Zea mays: one gene and its partner. Each later gene encodes a partner of the first gene's protein in a complex. Links are inferred from orthologs where the notes say so. Each region holds a gene or a part of one and is shown in the gene's direction. Other genes may lie near its edges.

The links. The genes of interacting proteins can lie anywhere in the genome.
Region 2: pheophorbide a oxygenase, chloroplastic (region 1) and uncharacterized protein LOC100272914 share a complex: the UniProt entries of both Arabidopsis thaliana proteins name them as parts of the SGR1-CCE-LHCII complex. The link is inferred for Zea mays from reciprocal best matches to the Arabidopsis thaliana genes ACD1 and ACD2.

Annotation. Positions count from the first base shown.
Region 1 is NC_050096.1:10,194,340-10,201,692, forward strand, and holds pheophorbide a oxygenase, chloroplastic, read left to right. Parts: upstream 1-2,835; 5' UTR 2,836-3,099; coding exon 3,100-3,468; intron 3,469-3,557; coding exon 3,558-3,793; intron 3,794-3,881; coding exon 3,882-4,008; intron 4,009-5,183; coding exon 5,184-5,320; intron 5,321-5,432; coding exon 5,433-5,592; intron 5,593-5,822; coding exon 5,823-6,101; intron 6,102-6,626; coding exon 6,627-6,881; 3' UTR 6,882-7,134; downstream 7,135-7,353. UniProt on the Arabidopsis thaliana protein: Catalyzes the key reaction of chlorophyll catabolism, porphyrin macrocycle cleavage of pheophorbide a (pheide a) to a primary fluorescent catabolite (pFCC). Works in a two-step reaction with red chlorophyll catabolite reductase (RCCR).
Region 2 is NC_050096.1:144,514,666-144,522,176, reverse strand, and holds uncharacterized protein LOC100272914, read left to right. Parts: upstream 1-2,870; 5' UTR 2,871-2,882; coding exon 2,883-3,263; intron 3,264-4,010; coding exon 4,011-4,628; 3' UTR 4,629-4,786; coding exon of another isoform or gene 4,787-4,790; 3' UTR 4,791-5,019; downstream 5,020-7,511. UniProt on the Arabidopsis thaliana protein: Catalyzes the key reaction of chlorophyll catabolism, porphyrin macrocycle cleavage of pheophorbide a (pheide a) to a primary fluorescent catabolite (pFCC).

The DNA of each region.
Region 1 (7,353 bases):
ATTGTGATTCTGGTTAGTAGCGCTGGAATCAGGTTTAATCTGTTCTATGTGAGATTAAAATTGTCACCATGCATTTCAAAGTTCAAACATGCTGAGGAAGAAACTATCCTAGGATCTTGGCTGTCATTGAGGGCGCAAGATATCATTTGACGATATGGTACATCTGGATATGTGGTAGTGCTGGAATCATGTTTAATCTGTTCTATGTGAGATTACAATTGTCACCACACATTTCAAAATTCAAACATGCTGAGGAAGAAACTATCCTAGGATCTTGGCTGCCATTGAGGGCGCAAGATATTCTTTGACGATATGATACACTAGTGTATTGTGCGTGTCTTGCTCGCGTGTTACAGCCGTGTTTGAAAATCTGTGCGTGACCATATTTAAGTAGATCTGTGCGTGACCATATTTAAGTAGATGGAAAGTCCTCCAAAAACGAAGCCAACATAGAAAAGACGAAATGTCCGTCAGAAACATCTAGAGACTTATTGAGCTGGAGCGATTGAAGACGGAGATGAAGGATCGAACGCATGCACGGAATGATATGCTAGTTGGGGCCGTTTCCGTCGGGCTTTAAAGATAAGGAAATCTGGATATGGACTAATGATGTCTAATTTTTGTTAGAGCCTAGCGCCCTAGCATGCTAACTAGAAGGTTAATTTTGTTTCTATTTTTTGTTGCACCGACTGAGCCAACATTCTTTTGTCTAGTAGTTTACATTTTAGTTACTACTCTCTTCGTCTAAAAAGTACTATATCTCCATTTTTTAAAATGTCTTGCTTTTTGAAGAGCACTATCTTTTAAAATCTTGACCAACTATATAAAAGTACTTCTGATACATGATAGGTTTAATAAAATATATAAAATCTTATATTTTTAGTAAGTCTAGTCAAACTTAAGAGCTTTTGATGTCGCACATAGTTGTTTTAAACAAGGTGTTTGTTCATGTTCGTTCTAATATGTGGATAGTATTCCGATTCATTTCGCCAGAGGTGTGGCTGTGGATATTTGGTTAGAGCATCTTCAAGAAAACCCGTAAATCAACTCCAAAAACGTTTTGAGCCTCCCAACAGTCCCCCTTCCCCTCCCCATATTACGCGTCAAGCATTGTTCCCAATCGTCCTCTGCGCATGCTGGTTCCCACGTGTATTTTCCTCGCGCGCAGTTCTGTTGGAGGAGGAAGGCGGGACGTTGGCACTAGCGCTGGCTGGAGATTATGGCCATCGCAATCAGTTTGTGGCAGTCAAATGCTTTGTTTTTTTGGCCGCTCATGTGAGTATCATTTCTGTGAAAACTATCTAAATCAATATGAATGTATATTTCTTTAAGTCGTCACGATAGGAAGACTCCATCGTTCTAAAACCTAAACCATGCACACATATTCATCTTTCTCCAAACGCAAGTCTCGTGATATTTATATTCTCGTGCCAGCTAGATTATCTAGAAATTTAGATTCTTAAAAAAATTCTTTAGAAAAAAAATTATACCAAACAGGACCATGGTTTAAACTATTACGGATAAATAGCATGACTACCTTAGTATTTAAATGATATCAGTTGAAATATGTCGACTTATTTTATAGTTAGTATTATTAGAACATGTTTAAATAATTATCACATTTAAACCAGATCTACATATAAACTATTTTGCTTGTCAACTGCATCGCAAACTCACTTGCCTACCATCGGGATCGCGCTCGTATACAAGTGACACACTTTAAATGATTTAAGCCGCGAAAATTATAAATGTACCATCCTCATTTGACAAGTCTAAAGATAGCTTTACCATACAAATGAAACTAAATTTAAAATTCCAAGTAATAATTAGAAAAACTGATTTGACAGTTTTTTCAGTATATATTTAGCAGCTCGCTAAATCTGAATTTAGAAAGTTTTTTTGAAATGAGTTGAGATGCTCTTATAATGGTTACTATAGGTTGAGGGACGGAAGTAGTAGTAGAACTGGTAAACAAATTCGAATTTGATCTATTCAACTTTGTAGCTACTCAGCAAGATGCGAATTGCAAACATCCGGCGGGGTGGATTCCGCCACGGCCCACGGGTGGGTTCGTGTCGTTCTCACCGCCGGTCAGGTCTCCCCTCCGCGCGGCGCATTCGTCCCGGTGGGGACGGCTAGCTGGCCCAATGCAAGCTCCACCGCACAAATGCCGCAAAGCGCCATGCGTGGTCGCGTACAATTGTCCTCCTTCCCCGCCCTTCCTCCCTTCCCTGCCGTGACGCAACCACACTGCGCTCACCATGTGTACAATGTATTCTCCCTAGCCGAACCGTATCAGTAGTTCTTAGGGGTGGGCGTTCGGGTTACCCGAAATTTTCGGGTTGGGTAATTCAAGTTTTTTAAATTTCGGGTTTTGAGAATCAATACCCGAAATTACAACGGATTTTTCAATACCCGGAATTTCGGGTACCCGGAATTTCGGGTTCGGGTTCGGGTATTCCCAAACTACCCGAACTATTGTGTTGGCTTCATAAAAACACATACACCCTATTAAATTAGTATAAAAATATAGTTTGAATAATGATATACATGGACATATAAAACACAAACAATCTACAATCCCAAGTTATGCACACTTACACATAATTATAGATGTACAAATTAATTATTAAGCATGACATGAGTACATGACACATGAAAGTTCGGGTAATTCGGGTATTTCGGGTACCCGATTGTGATACCCGAATTACCCGAAATAATTTCGGGTTTTGCAAGTTGCTACCCGAAATTCCCAAACAAAATTCGGGTTTCGGGTATTTCGGGTTCGGGTTCGGGTATTCCAGGTTTGGGTTTCGGGTTACGGGTTTTTTGCCCAGCCCTACTAGTTCTTCCCTCGCGTTCACTCCCCAGCGTGGGAAAATCCCGGAATTTTCTTGTTTGTCCACTGGTTTTCTTGCGCCAAAACCAGGTTTCTCCCCGTTGCCGTGGCAGAACTCTGTTCTTGCCCAGTCTAGAAGATCTGCACCGTTCCAACCACCGACTCCGGCCGCCAAGCATATAGCCAGCGCGGCGAAGAATTCCCAACGCGAAAGCCAAAACCTCTTCACTTCACTTCACGTCGACACGTGCGGGGAGAATATGCGCGCGACAATCCCAGCCCTGTCGCTCCTGGTGACGCCGCGGCTCCCCTCGCTCGCCGTGCCGCTGGCTGGAGGCCGCCTCCGCGTGGGCGGTCGTTCTCGGACCCGCCTCCGCGTGGCGGCGCCGACGTCCGTCCCAGGGGAAGCGGCGGAGCAGGCGGAGCCGAGCACGTCGGCGCCCGAGTCCGGCGAGAAGTTCTCGTGGAGGGATCACTGGTACCCGGTCTCCCTCGTCGAGGACCTCGACCCCAGCCGCCCCACCCCGTTCCAGCTCCTCAACCGCGACCTCGTCATCTGGAAGGAACCCAAGTCCGGCGAGTGGGTCGCGCTCGACGACCGCTGCCCCCACCGCCTTGCCCCGCTCTCGGTACGGCGACCCGCATCCCTTCCTCGCCTCATCCGTGTCCTACCGGATCTCTTCCTCGTTTCGGCTAATTTTGGTCTGGGCATGTGCAGGAGGGCAGGATCGATGAGACGGGGTGCTTGCAGTGCTCGTATCACGGATGGTCATTCGATGGCTCCGGCGCCTGCACCAAGATCCCCCAGGCCATGCCCGAGGGTCCTGAGGCCCGTGCGGTGCGGTCACCGAAGGCGTGCGCGATCAAGTTCCCCACCCTCGTCTCCCAGGGGCTGCTCTTCGTGTGGCCCGATGAGAATGGGTGGGAGAAAGCGGCCGCCACCAAGCCTCCAATGTGCGTAGAGTCAGACTTTGGACTGCGGCTAATTGGTTGGATTCAGTTTTGCATTTCGGTGTCTGAATTCGATCTTGTTTGGTTTCAGGTTGCCGAAAGAATTTGAGGACCCGGCCTTCTCCACGGTGACAATCCAGAGGGACTTGTTCTATGGTTATGATACGTTGATGGAGAACGTCTCTGATCCGTCCCATATAGAATTTGCTCACCACAAGGTACTTGGTACAGTGAGAAAGCTTAGTTGCTTGCCACACTTAAGCACCATGATAGTATTTTTCAGTTGAAAGTTGGTGATTCGAGGAAAGATGTTTTGTTGCAACCAATTTGTGTAGTTTGCTAAAAAATCACCACCTCAATACTGTTTAATTGTGTAGGCCTCTTATCGTTTCTGATTGCCAGTGTGCAAGTTTAACTAACTGTTAGATCTTAACTGTGGATGTACCCATATATTTTTTTTGCATCATAGTTTTATTCTTTTTTACTTATGCTGCATTGAAATTCCTCAGAAATGACTTATAATGGGCAAAAGGGCTGAATGGTCTGAGTCTGGCCTCTTATCGTTTCTGATTGCCAGCGTGCAAGTTTAACTAAGGTCCCGTTTGGTTTGAGGGATTAAATATCAGTGCCTCCATTTTAGTCCCATTTAGTCCATAAATTGACAAACGGTGGGACTAAAACAAGGACTAAACTGTTCTAGTCTCTAGTCCCTCAAGGGATGACTCTAAGGGGCTAAACCATAAAAATCCACTTTTTGGCCCTCCTTCATTTCAGTTGCACTAATGGCGGGAGGATGTTAAGGAGTATTTTGGTCTTCTTATGATTCATTTAATGTGTTTTGAATACTTATAGTTTTTAGAACCAAACAGGGTAGGGACTAAATTTTAGTCTTCTAACTAAACTTTCGTCCCTGGACTAAAGGAACCAAACCCTAACTGTTAGATCTTAACTGTGGATGCACCCATATATATTTTTGCATCATAGTTTTATTCTTTTTTACTTACGCTACTTGCTTAGTCTGAACAGGCATTAATAGGGTGTTTGGTTTGAGGGATTAGTTAGTTCACCCACTCATTCCTCTTTTCTTTGTTTGGTTTGTTGAATGGAGTAGGTTGGTCAGTGCATTATCACATCATTCCTCAGACTAGTAGTTAGTACTAGTATGAAGAATGGGGTCATTCAACCAAATTTAAGGAATTGACTCATGATGCATCACCACATTTAGAATGGAGTGGCTCCTCAAACCAAACCCTATAAATGACTGGCTGAGTTAATTGTGCTATCTGTGTGTCATGAACTTGTGCCGGCAGCATAGACAAACAAAATGCTTTATTTTCTCGGGATACATGGTTTCAGCAAATCCACTCATGTTTCAGATTTTAACTCTTCACAGGTTACTGGACGAAGAGATAGAGCCAGGCCTTTGACATTCAGGATGGAATCAAGTGGTGCCTGGGGTTACTCAGGAGCAAATTCTGGTAATCCTCGCATTACTGCAACTTTTGAGGCCCCTTGTTATGCATTAAACAAGTAAGTTTCAGAAAAGTACCTGGTCATCTTTGAGTGTGGAGTGATTCTTATTTACCACTTAAGCAATTCAGTCGTTATACGGTTCTGAACTTCTGTTAACTGGCTTGTACAGAATAGAGATAGACACAAAGTTACCCATTTTTGGCGACCAGAAATGGGTCATATGGATTTGCTCTTTCAACATTCCAATGGCCCCAGGGAAGACTCGTTCTATTGTCTGTAGCGCTCGAAACTTTTTCCAGTTCACAATGCCAGGAAAAGCATGGTGGCAGGTACATGTGTGTTTAGTGTTTCCTTTACTTAAGCTTTGTTTTCCTATTTGTTTTGTCAACATAATCTTTTAACTGCTAAAACGAACTTGTTCTCGCGTTTTTGTGGGAAACAAGGCAAAGGTCCCTAGTCCCTACTGTAGGCATATATTATTGGCAGAGTTTATTACTTGGTCATGTTTGAATTTATATGTGTACAGTCAAATGTTGATAGCTTCTTTCTCTTGGTGTAGCTTGTTCCTCGATGGTATGAACATTGGACTTCAAATTTGGTCTATGATGGCGATATGATCGTTCTTCAAGGCCAGGAGAAGATTTTCCTAGCTGCAACCAAGGAGTCTTCTACGGATATTAATCAGCAGTACACAAAGATCACATTCACGCCCACACAAGCTGATCGATTTGTTTTAGCATTCCGCACGTGGCTAAGGAAATTTGGCAATAGCCAGCCGGAGTGGTTTGGAAATCCTACACAAGAAGCATTGCCTTCCACCGTCCTTTCAAAGCGCGAGGTAAAAGCCATCTGGGTCACCAAAAAAGTTTCAGTATAATATTTGCTTCAGACATAAAATATCTGAATATGACAACCTTTTTGGTGGTCAAAGATCTGTTTTGCTTACATTCTTAATACTCGATGCATTGGTAAGTTATTACAGTTATCCTTTTTACTCGATTTTTCCCTTTCTGAGCAGAACGTATTATCACGTCTTCATTGTTTGTACACTTGGTTTCTATGACACACAAATTTTTGTTTTACATTATCAGTTGTCATATGAACTAATGTATTTACAGCAACCTGCTTAAGTGCTTAGTATCACAAAGGGACAAATTCAATGAAATATTTGGAAAGATAGTAGCGTCGAACCACTCTCACTGCTAGGCATTTGAGAATAGTTACTTAACTGACAGCGAAGTTCACCTTCTACCGACTGGATCTGGAAACAGTATCTTGAAGTAGTCACACGTAAACCTTCATCAGCTGTGTTTCTGCGTTCCAGTAACTCATGTATTCTTATGATTGACTTTGTGTTATGCAGATGCTAGACAGATACGAGCAGCACACGTTGAAATGCTCGTCTTGCAAAGGAGCATATAATGCTTTCCAGAATCTGCAGAAGGTATTCATGGGAGCGACAGTAGTTTGCTGTGCTGCCGCTGGTATTCCTCCAGATGTTCAGCTCAGGCTATTGATCGGTGCGGCTGCTTTGGTCAGTGCCGCTATAGCATACGCATTCCATGAGCTCCAGAAGAATTTTGTATTCGTGGATTACGTGCATGCTGACATTGATTGAAAGATTCGTGAGGATCTGTTGTGTCGACATCACTCGCTCGCGAGTCGTGTCTGTAGTCTAGGGCTCTAGGCGTCTAGGTAGGGAAAGTAACTTTTTGCCGGGTATAGGTCATATTGCTCACATATGTATTTTGTATAGTGTATGCACTCAACTGTAGCCGATGCAGTGCGAAAATATAGTTTTTATGTTATTATCTATTGGATTAAAATTGTCTCCAGATCCTTTTAGCATGTAAAATGCCATTTTTCAAATGGAAGTTCTCAATTGCGCCTATAGTTGCAGGGAACATTCTGATGTGATCATGCCATTCTCTGGCTCTGAGCAGTTAGAGCTGGGCACGAAGATGGCATGTGAAACTATTTCAATACAGTGTCTGGTCAGAATCTTCTGTAATGGTGAGCCTTTGGTTTGTGACCCAAGTAATGAGCCAAGCCAAATTGTATCCATTTCTAGGAAACATGAACTTTGTTTG
Region 2 (7,511 bases), about 130 Mb from region 1:
GAACACATTCCAATCGAGCCAATCTATTTACCTGCATTTATCTTTCATGCCTTAAGAGTAGATATAGTGTAGCCTTAGTTTAAATCTATTTGTGGCCTACCACAACTATCTCTCTTTTACTCTATGCTCTGACCATAGATGTCCCGGGTGGCCTGCGGATTCCGGGGCACTCCTTGTAACTCTCCCCCCTAATGGGATTTCTCCCGAGGGGCGAGTTTTAGGGTTCTTCGTGGAGAAAACGACCCTCTGCGCCATTGCGGATCATCAGGTCCAGGGTACGGACCGTCCGACCAGCACGCATGGAAGATCTGCTCCCGCAGCAGGGCCGCAGATATTCCGTGTTGCCGCCGGAAGCACCGTCAGGCGATCCGGTGACTGTAAGTGCAATCAACCCTAATTGAGGGTTTTGGTGATTAAATGACAAAACAAACAGAGATTCTAACAAGTTTGCTCCTAGCATGTACACAGTTATTCTACAGACAGGAGAAGCACAGATCTTATGAGCATAAAAATGTAAAGCACAGCGGATTTAAATTCTACATCATATGGCATGCTCCAAGTGCTTGGAAACAACGACAGTGTTCATTTTATAATTCTTGAGTTATAGGAATCGTCGTTCAATTAAGAGGGATCCGCGATGGTTCAAAATCCTTCAAAATCATCTTAGAGAACACTTTTCCAGATCATGAATACCTTTGTGAAAAACCATTTTCTCTTCCCACAAGAGTTCCACCTTTGTTCACTTCAAAATGTTCAAAACTTGCTCTTCAGCCTCTGAAACCGGTTCAACCGGACCTGAAACCGATTCAACCGGTTTTTGGACTGTTTCTCTGCCACCCCTGCTTTGACTGTCTGACAGTCATAGCTGTCAGAAAAATCGTTGCAGATATTTTTGTGAAACCGGTTCAACCGAAATTTTTCCCGACTCAACCGGTTTTGGATCCGGTCGAGTCCCCGGCTGAGTAGATCAGTGAACCGAGATCTTCCTGGTGGAAACCGGTTTACAAACCGGTTCAACCGGTTTACAAACCGGTTCAACCGGTTTTGGCTCTTTTCTCCCAACGGCTGCCAGCTTTTTGGGGATCCTTTAAATCCCGCCACACTCTCTCTCTTCATTACTTCTGCTCTCTCCACGATTTCTCAGCTGACCAAACTCCAAACAAGGGCATTCAATTCACATCTCACACCCGAAATCGCATCTCCTTCAATCGCTTGAAGGATCCTTGGTGTGAGGTGAAGTCGATCTAACGCGCTGTCAATTTCATCTTGATTCTCCCATTCTCTTTGTTCTTGAGCTCATTGCAAACTTAACCTTGTGCGGATTTGTTACTCTTGGAGCCTTGTGCTCCTTGACAGTTAGAGGTTGCTTGGGAGTCTCCAAATTTGTGGACGACCCCAAGAAGTTTATATTACCCGCTCTTTGAGCAAATTTGAGAAGAGATTGCCTTGACCTTTGTGGTCGGCTTGTGGAGGATTAGGGTTGGAAAAGACCCGGCCCTTTGTGGGCTCCTCAGCGAGGAGTAGGACACCTTTGTGGTGGTTGCCGAACCTCGGGTTAAATCGCATGTTCTTGTGCGTTCTTGTCAAGTGCCTAAAATTGTTGGTTGTTTTATATTCATTTATTTGAGTGGATTTTCTGTAGGGAAAGTCATTAGCAAAATCTTTCACTACTTCGTCATATTAGTTTAACTGATTATTTAATCTAAGTTGAGCAGGTTCAAACTTGTTCAGTTGTAAACAAAATCAACTGAACCGGTTTGCACCAGTGCAACTTTAATTTGACATATCTCGAAGTTTTTAGTGAAAAATTTCAGGTGTAGCCTATTCACCCCCTCTCTAGGCTACTTTCAGTGACCTGTCATGGACCGTCATCGCTGTTCACGTTGCAGAGCCGAACCCAAAGTATTGCTCGTCACGAGAAGTGACTAGGCTTCATTGGTGTTTGGTTTTAAATAGATGGTGGTCATCATAGAGGTGGTGTACTATAAATCAGCGATAGAGATAAAGTTCAAGACCGCATCCGAGATAGTGTTATTTATTTTACATCTTATCTACAATCTCGCTTCGGTCATTAGTAATTGGCGCCCAAATTAGGTCCAAGACACTCCTTCACACATTTTGCCTTTTTAAACGCAATAAAAAATATGGACCTTCCGATTTTCCGAACTATCCTCCAAGTTATTAGAGTTAATAGATAATCGTGGCTGGGCAAAATACTCGTGGCTCGTGAGCTCGCTCGACTCGTGGCCAGCTCGGCTCGACTCGACTCGGCTCGTTTCAATTTTATCACGAGCTGAGCTAACATCTCAGCTCGGTTCGTTAACGAGCCAGCTCGACACGAGCTCGAGCCAGCTCGTTAGCTCGAATGAGCTAGCATTTATCTGTAAAACAAAGCCTATACTTGTATTAGATGAATTAATAAGTGATGAACTATGTTAGTTTACGGTTTAGATGATGTGATATATAAAATTATGAGTATTGTTAGTCTTTTCTAGTGTTAAATTAGTATGAAATTAACTAGCAATTAATTATATTGTTGTATATATACATGTATAATATTTTTTGTTCTGGCTCGCGAGATAAACGAGCCAGCTCGAGCTCGCAAACGAGCCGAGCCGAGCTGATTCTCTGGCTCGGTTGCTTAACGAGCCGAGCCGAGCCAGCTCGTTTCCTTAACGAGCCAGCTCGAGCTCGGTCGAGCCGAGCCGAGTGGCTCGATATCCACCCCGATAATCACGTAAATTCTTTTTTGTGCGTGCATTGGCGATAGCGCTGCCTCCTCTTTGTAGCTGCTACCTGCTAGTTCTCACGTCACTGTAGTCTGTAACGTCGTCTTCTTACTCCCCCTATCCGACGCCGGGACAGGAATCAGCTTCCCCTCCATGCTCCGGCTGGAGCAATATCTCCGGTTGCTGCCGGCGACCAGCCACGCTACAGCGCCCGCGTTGATCTCGGGTTACTCTTTCCTCTCCAGTCCTCTCCCTCGCCTCAGTGCCCTCCGGCTAGCCCGCTCGCGGCCTCCCCCGCTCAGGGGCAAAACGTCGAGCCCCGTGCGCGCCTCGGCGGAGCCGGATTCTACGGTAAAGCGCGCGCCCGAGATGGCCCAGAGGGAGGTGGCGCGGGTGGTCGCGGATCAGGCGGTGGCGCGTTTGGGCGCGCGGCTGCTGCCGTCCGCCGTGCCTGCCGACGTCGTCGAGTTTCGCAACGCCGCCGGGAACGCCGTCGGCTCGCTCGACGTGCAACGGGGCTCTCCTGGCTCGTCGGTACAGTTCAATAGTGATCCTATTTTTTTTTTTCTTGTGGTAGTACCGTACCATGTTAGTATAATACAGCTTTCGTGTGGTTGCATACCAAAAGATAAGGGCATACTACTATACTGCTCTGTGCGTAATACGGTTATGGGATCTCCAGTATGACTCGGAATCGGCACATCATGCATTCCACCATTTTTCCTTGGTATATAGTACTCAAATACACACATCACCCCATATATGGCATCTGTATTGAATACCAAAAAATGGCTTGTGTTTCAGTTCAGTATGGTTTGGTGCACTTGCTGACCGCCTACTTCTCGCCAATTGGATAATTGTTGTCCACTGATCCATTCAAGGTGAATTGTCAAAGTTTTAGATGGAAATATTGCTAATGCAACTCTATCAAAGCATCTTGTCAATTGTAGGTTACTAACAGTTCTCCATTTGAGTCCCTTAGATTATTGTTGTGACTTGTGAGACTGCCGAGTTCCAGATAAAGAAACTGGCAATGATCCGTCCCGTGATTTCCAAAACTTAAACTGTAATCGCAGTCCAATCTGAATATCACTGTCATATATGTTGTTGTCCTTGAGCTGATAGTTCAATCTTAATATGTGATTTCAGTCATTGAAAACAGCAATGTCGTCGAGGATGGAAGAAAGCTTGCATTAACATGCTTCCTGTTTGCTACTGCTGTAAGATGTAGTAAAAAGAAACGATGACAGGACCTGATGTGCGTTTCCTCCTTGTCTACAGATTGATTTCATGCTGCAGTCCTCGCTTCACTGTGAAGTCCCGAACGGTGCCATTGACATCACCTCAATTCTCATTTTCCTGAACGCCTCGACGGACGCACCACATTTCCTACTGGAGCTCATACAAGGCAGCTCAACTTCAATGGTGGTGATTCTGGACCTGCTTCCACGGAAAGACCTCGCGTTTCACCCGGACTACCTGCAGAAGTACTACGAGGAAACTGGAATGGATGAGCAGCGCAGAAAGATCGAGGAGCTACCGCAGGCTCGTCCATACAGATCTCCGTCACTCTTCGTGCGCAGCGCATGCTCGCCTACAGCAATAATGGTGAGCATTGACTGTGGACAAGGGGGTGAGAAAGCCTTGGAAGAGATAATACATGGACAGTTAGCAAAGGTCATTCAGGAGGCTCTTCAGACTTGGCTTGACAACTGTGTTGATTCCACCATAGAGATGGATGAGGCGGAGAGGGACTGCCTGCTCAAGAGGGACCGGATTGTAAGGTCGAAATCGATAGAGGTTGACCTGACTGCAAACCTTCCCAGGATGTTTGGTCCGGATGTGTCTAGTCGGGTCATAACTGAAATCCGCAAGGCCTTTGGTGTACAAGAGCCGTAAGTCGTTCATAAATACAAGCATGTAGTTACTTTATTGTAGAGAAAAATTGTTGTGAGTCCATGAAACCCCCTTATTTGAACAATCGAAAGTATATGTGCTAAAGTTGTGTATATATTACTACCAAGTGCTAACTGAGATGATGAAAGTGAGCTATGCAGGTGAAGATGATCAGTTGTTAGGACCAGGTTTCCAGGAACAGTCTCTCATCACAGAGTTCCTAAGCCGTTCCTGTCTTCCTGATGCTAACATACCCAATAAGCATAAGAATTAGCTCTGCCTAAAAAGGAGGTACTGAATGGCGGTGTGTTTTGCTGCATCTTGTTTTATGTATATAAAACTTTGGTGTATATGGTGTACATATTAAAAAAATATCCATCCATGTTAGATCTACTATCCTTTGCCGCTGTATGTATTTTGCAAAGAACACTCTCCATCACCATTTTTCGCAATGTTCGGATATGGCATCATAATAGTATTATGTGTACCTGATATGTTCAAATGACAACTACAACCAGGTTGTTCCGTGTTCAAGCGAAACTGTGGCGAGCTAGCATAGCAGCAGCCACTCCTGAGCTCGGATGCACATGATGATGGTAACAAGTAATGTTCGATAATATCGGTCCTATGAAATTTGTTTTGATCCCGGAGGGGGGGGGGGGGGGGGGGGTCAAACAAGTAGCTACTGTCTTGTGCGTATCTGGACGTTGCATAGTTCGTGACGGCCGTTCGGGTTTATGCATTTGCTGGACTTTACATCAGTAACTTTTGGACTTTGGCGATAGGATGAAAATCTGTTTCAGAATGAAATTCACGTATGTATACAATTGTGCACGATAATACGTCAAGGAAATCCCTGGATTAAAACAAAGTGACACGTTGCGGTGTGCCTCATTGCATGGACGAGTTTTTCTCTATTTTTTGAATTGAATGCGTGAATTCAAACATTCAGCTTAAAGTAGTAAACTAATCAGAGCAGTAAAATGTTTGAGGATAAGATGTCCGAGTATCTCATCTTCCAAGTACAAAAGGAAATGAGAGTTCCAGCCGAAATGAGTTCATAGTTACTTTGGGATTGTCATGACATTGGATCCCGTCTTCCTCCTCACAGGAGACAAGGAAAAAAAAAAAGAAAGAAAGGCAACCGCAAAGTTATAACAAAGGCTACCCCAAAGTCTCGGCAGCTTGAAGGCAAAGTAGTAAATATGAGACCGAAAGCAAAAAGGCTTGAAGGTAAAACTGCAAATTGGGAATCCAGGCTTCAAACAGATATTTGAATTTAACGAGTGCCTCAGATGGACGCTTTGGAAGTGCATATCACCATGCCTGTGCACCAGAACATTCATCCAGAATTCACCAATTGCGTGAATCATCACCGGCACGTACGCAAACCACCACGGGGCGAGAGTAAAAAAAAAAACAGAGAGAGAGGGACTAACTCCAAACATATCGTGCTGCAGCTGCAGATCGGCCGGGAGACGAATTACGGCATGCAGAATCCTAACAATCACGAACTGGAACAGAAACAAACAGATTGGATGTGCAATAACCCCGCCAGAAGGAGATGAAGCAAGAACAAGACAGCATAATAGATATGCCACGAAAAAGCACGGCTCCATTCCAGTTCCAAACGTGCGGTGGTGGAGAGGCGGACCTGGAAGCCTGCTACTGGTAGTGCTAGGCGGTATGGTATGGCCTCAATAAATAGTCTGGCGGGCGCGGGATGGATCACGGACGGCCGAGATTGACATGGCCACATAATGGGCCTCGACCATGACCACAGCCGCGTGCCGCGTGCCCGTCGTATCAGCAACAGCGGAAGCAGAGAAACGATGCAAGGATAATCCATGTCTACAATGTCAAATACAACTTGCTCTATTCTGATGTTGTGCACATAGCCGAAAGTGATTAACATTGTTATTTTTCCCAGTGTCACTATCTACTTTCCTCCGAAGCTACACAGGGGTGTGTTGCATCTGTCTGAAGGCTTTTGCAAAAATAATGTCTGCTGCACTACCATGTCTACGAGGACATTGTGAACCAAGAATCCTTTGATGACACATGCTATGACCATGGCATCATTGTGAGGGTAATCCTTAAGCTGAAGGTCTTCTTGATAAAAAGTAATCGGTACATGGGACCATTTGGACTTGATGAAGGGTACTTGTACTCCAACATGTTGTACTCTTTTCTGTGCTTCCTTCTTTTGCTTCTTATTGGCTGGTTCGAAGCTTGAACCACCTGTGATTAGGAGCACTAGCTTCGTTGCCGAAGGAGACGCAGCTTGATCACCTTGCGAAGCGATTGCCGTGGTTGTGAAAGTGAATTCACCGGAGGTGGACACCAATGTTGATTTCTTGTTTATGATTCCTGAATCAAAAAATAAGGCAACATAAATGTTATATGAAAAGAACCTTCATTCTTCGAAACATCAAATCCTTTCGGGTTTGATGGTTCTTGAACGAAGGTTATGAAGAACAAATCTTCATCACTCACAAATACGAAAATGTGTCTTCAAATGTAACGTTATAATAAGTATTTATATCATATCAAACATTGAATATTATTGAAGTTTATATCATATGTTGATAAAGTAATACATGATATATATTACATTTGTACCTTCGGCTTGCTCGAAGGTGAGAGAACAATCCGAATCCAGCATGAACAGTACGGGGTACTGTTCATCTATTTATAGGCATGGGACGTAGCCTAAGCAAAAATACACTTATGACCCTGACATATACACATAATCCTAATTCAAACATCAAGGATTAACGAGTCTTTTCCTTTTCGACTCACCATTGTGTTTGACCTTGGTAACCACCTTGAGCCAAAGTTGACATCCTTCGGCGCTTCACGCATGCTTGTTGTAACTTCAGTACT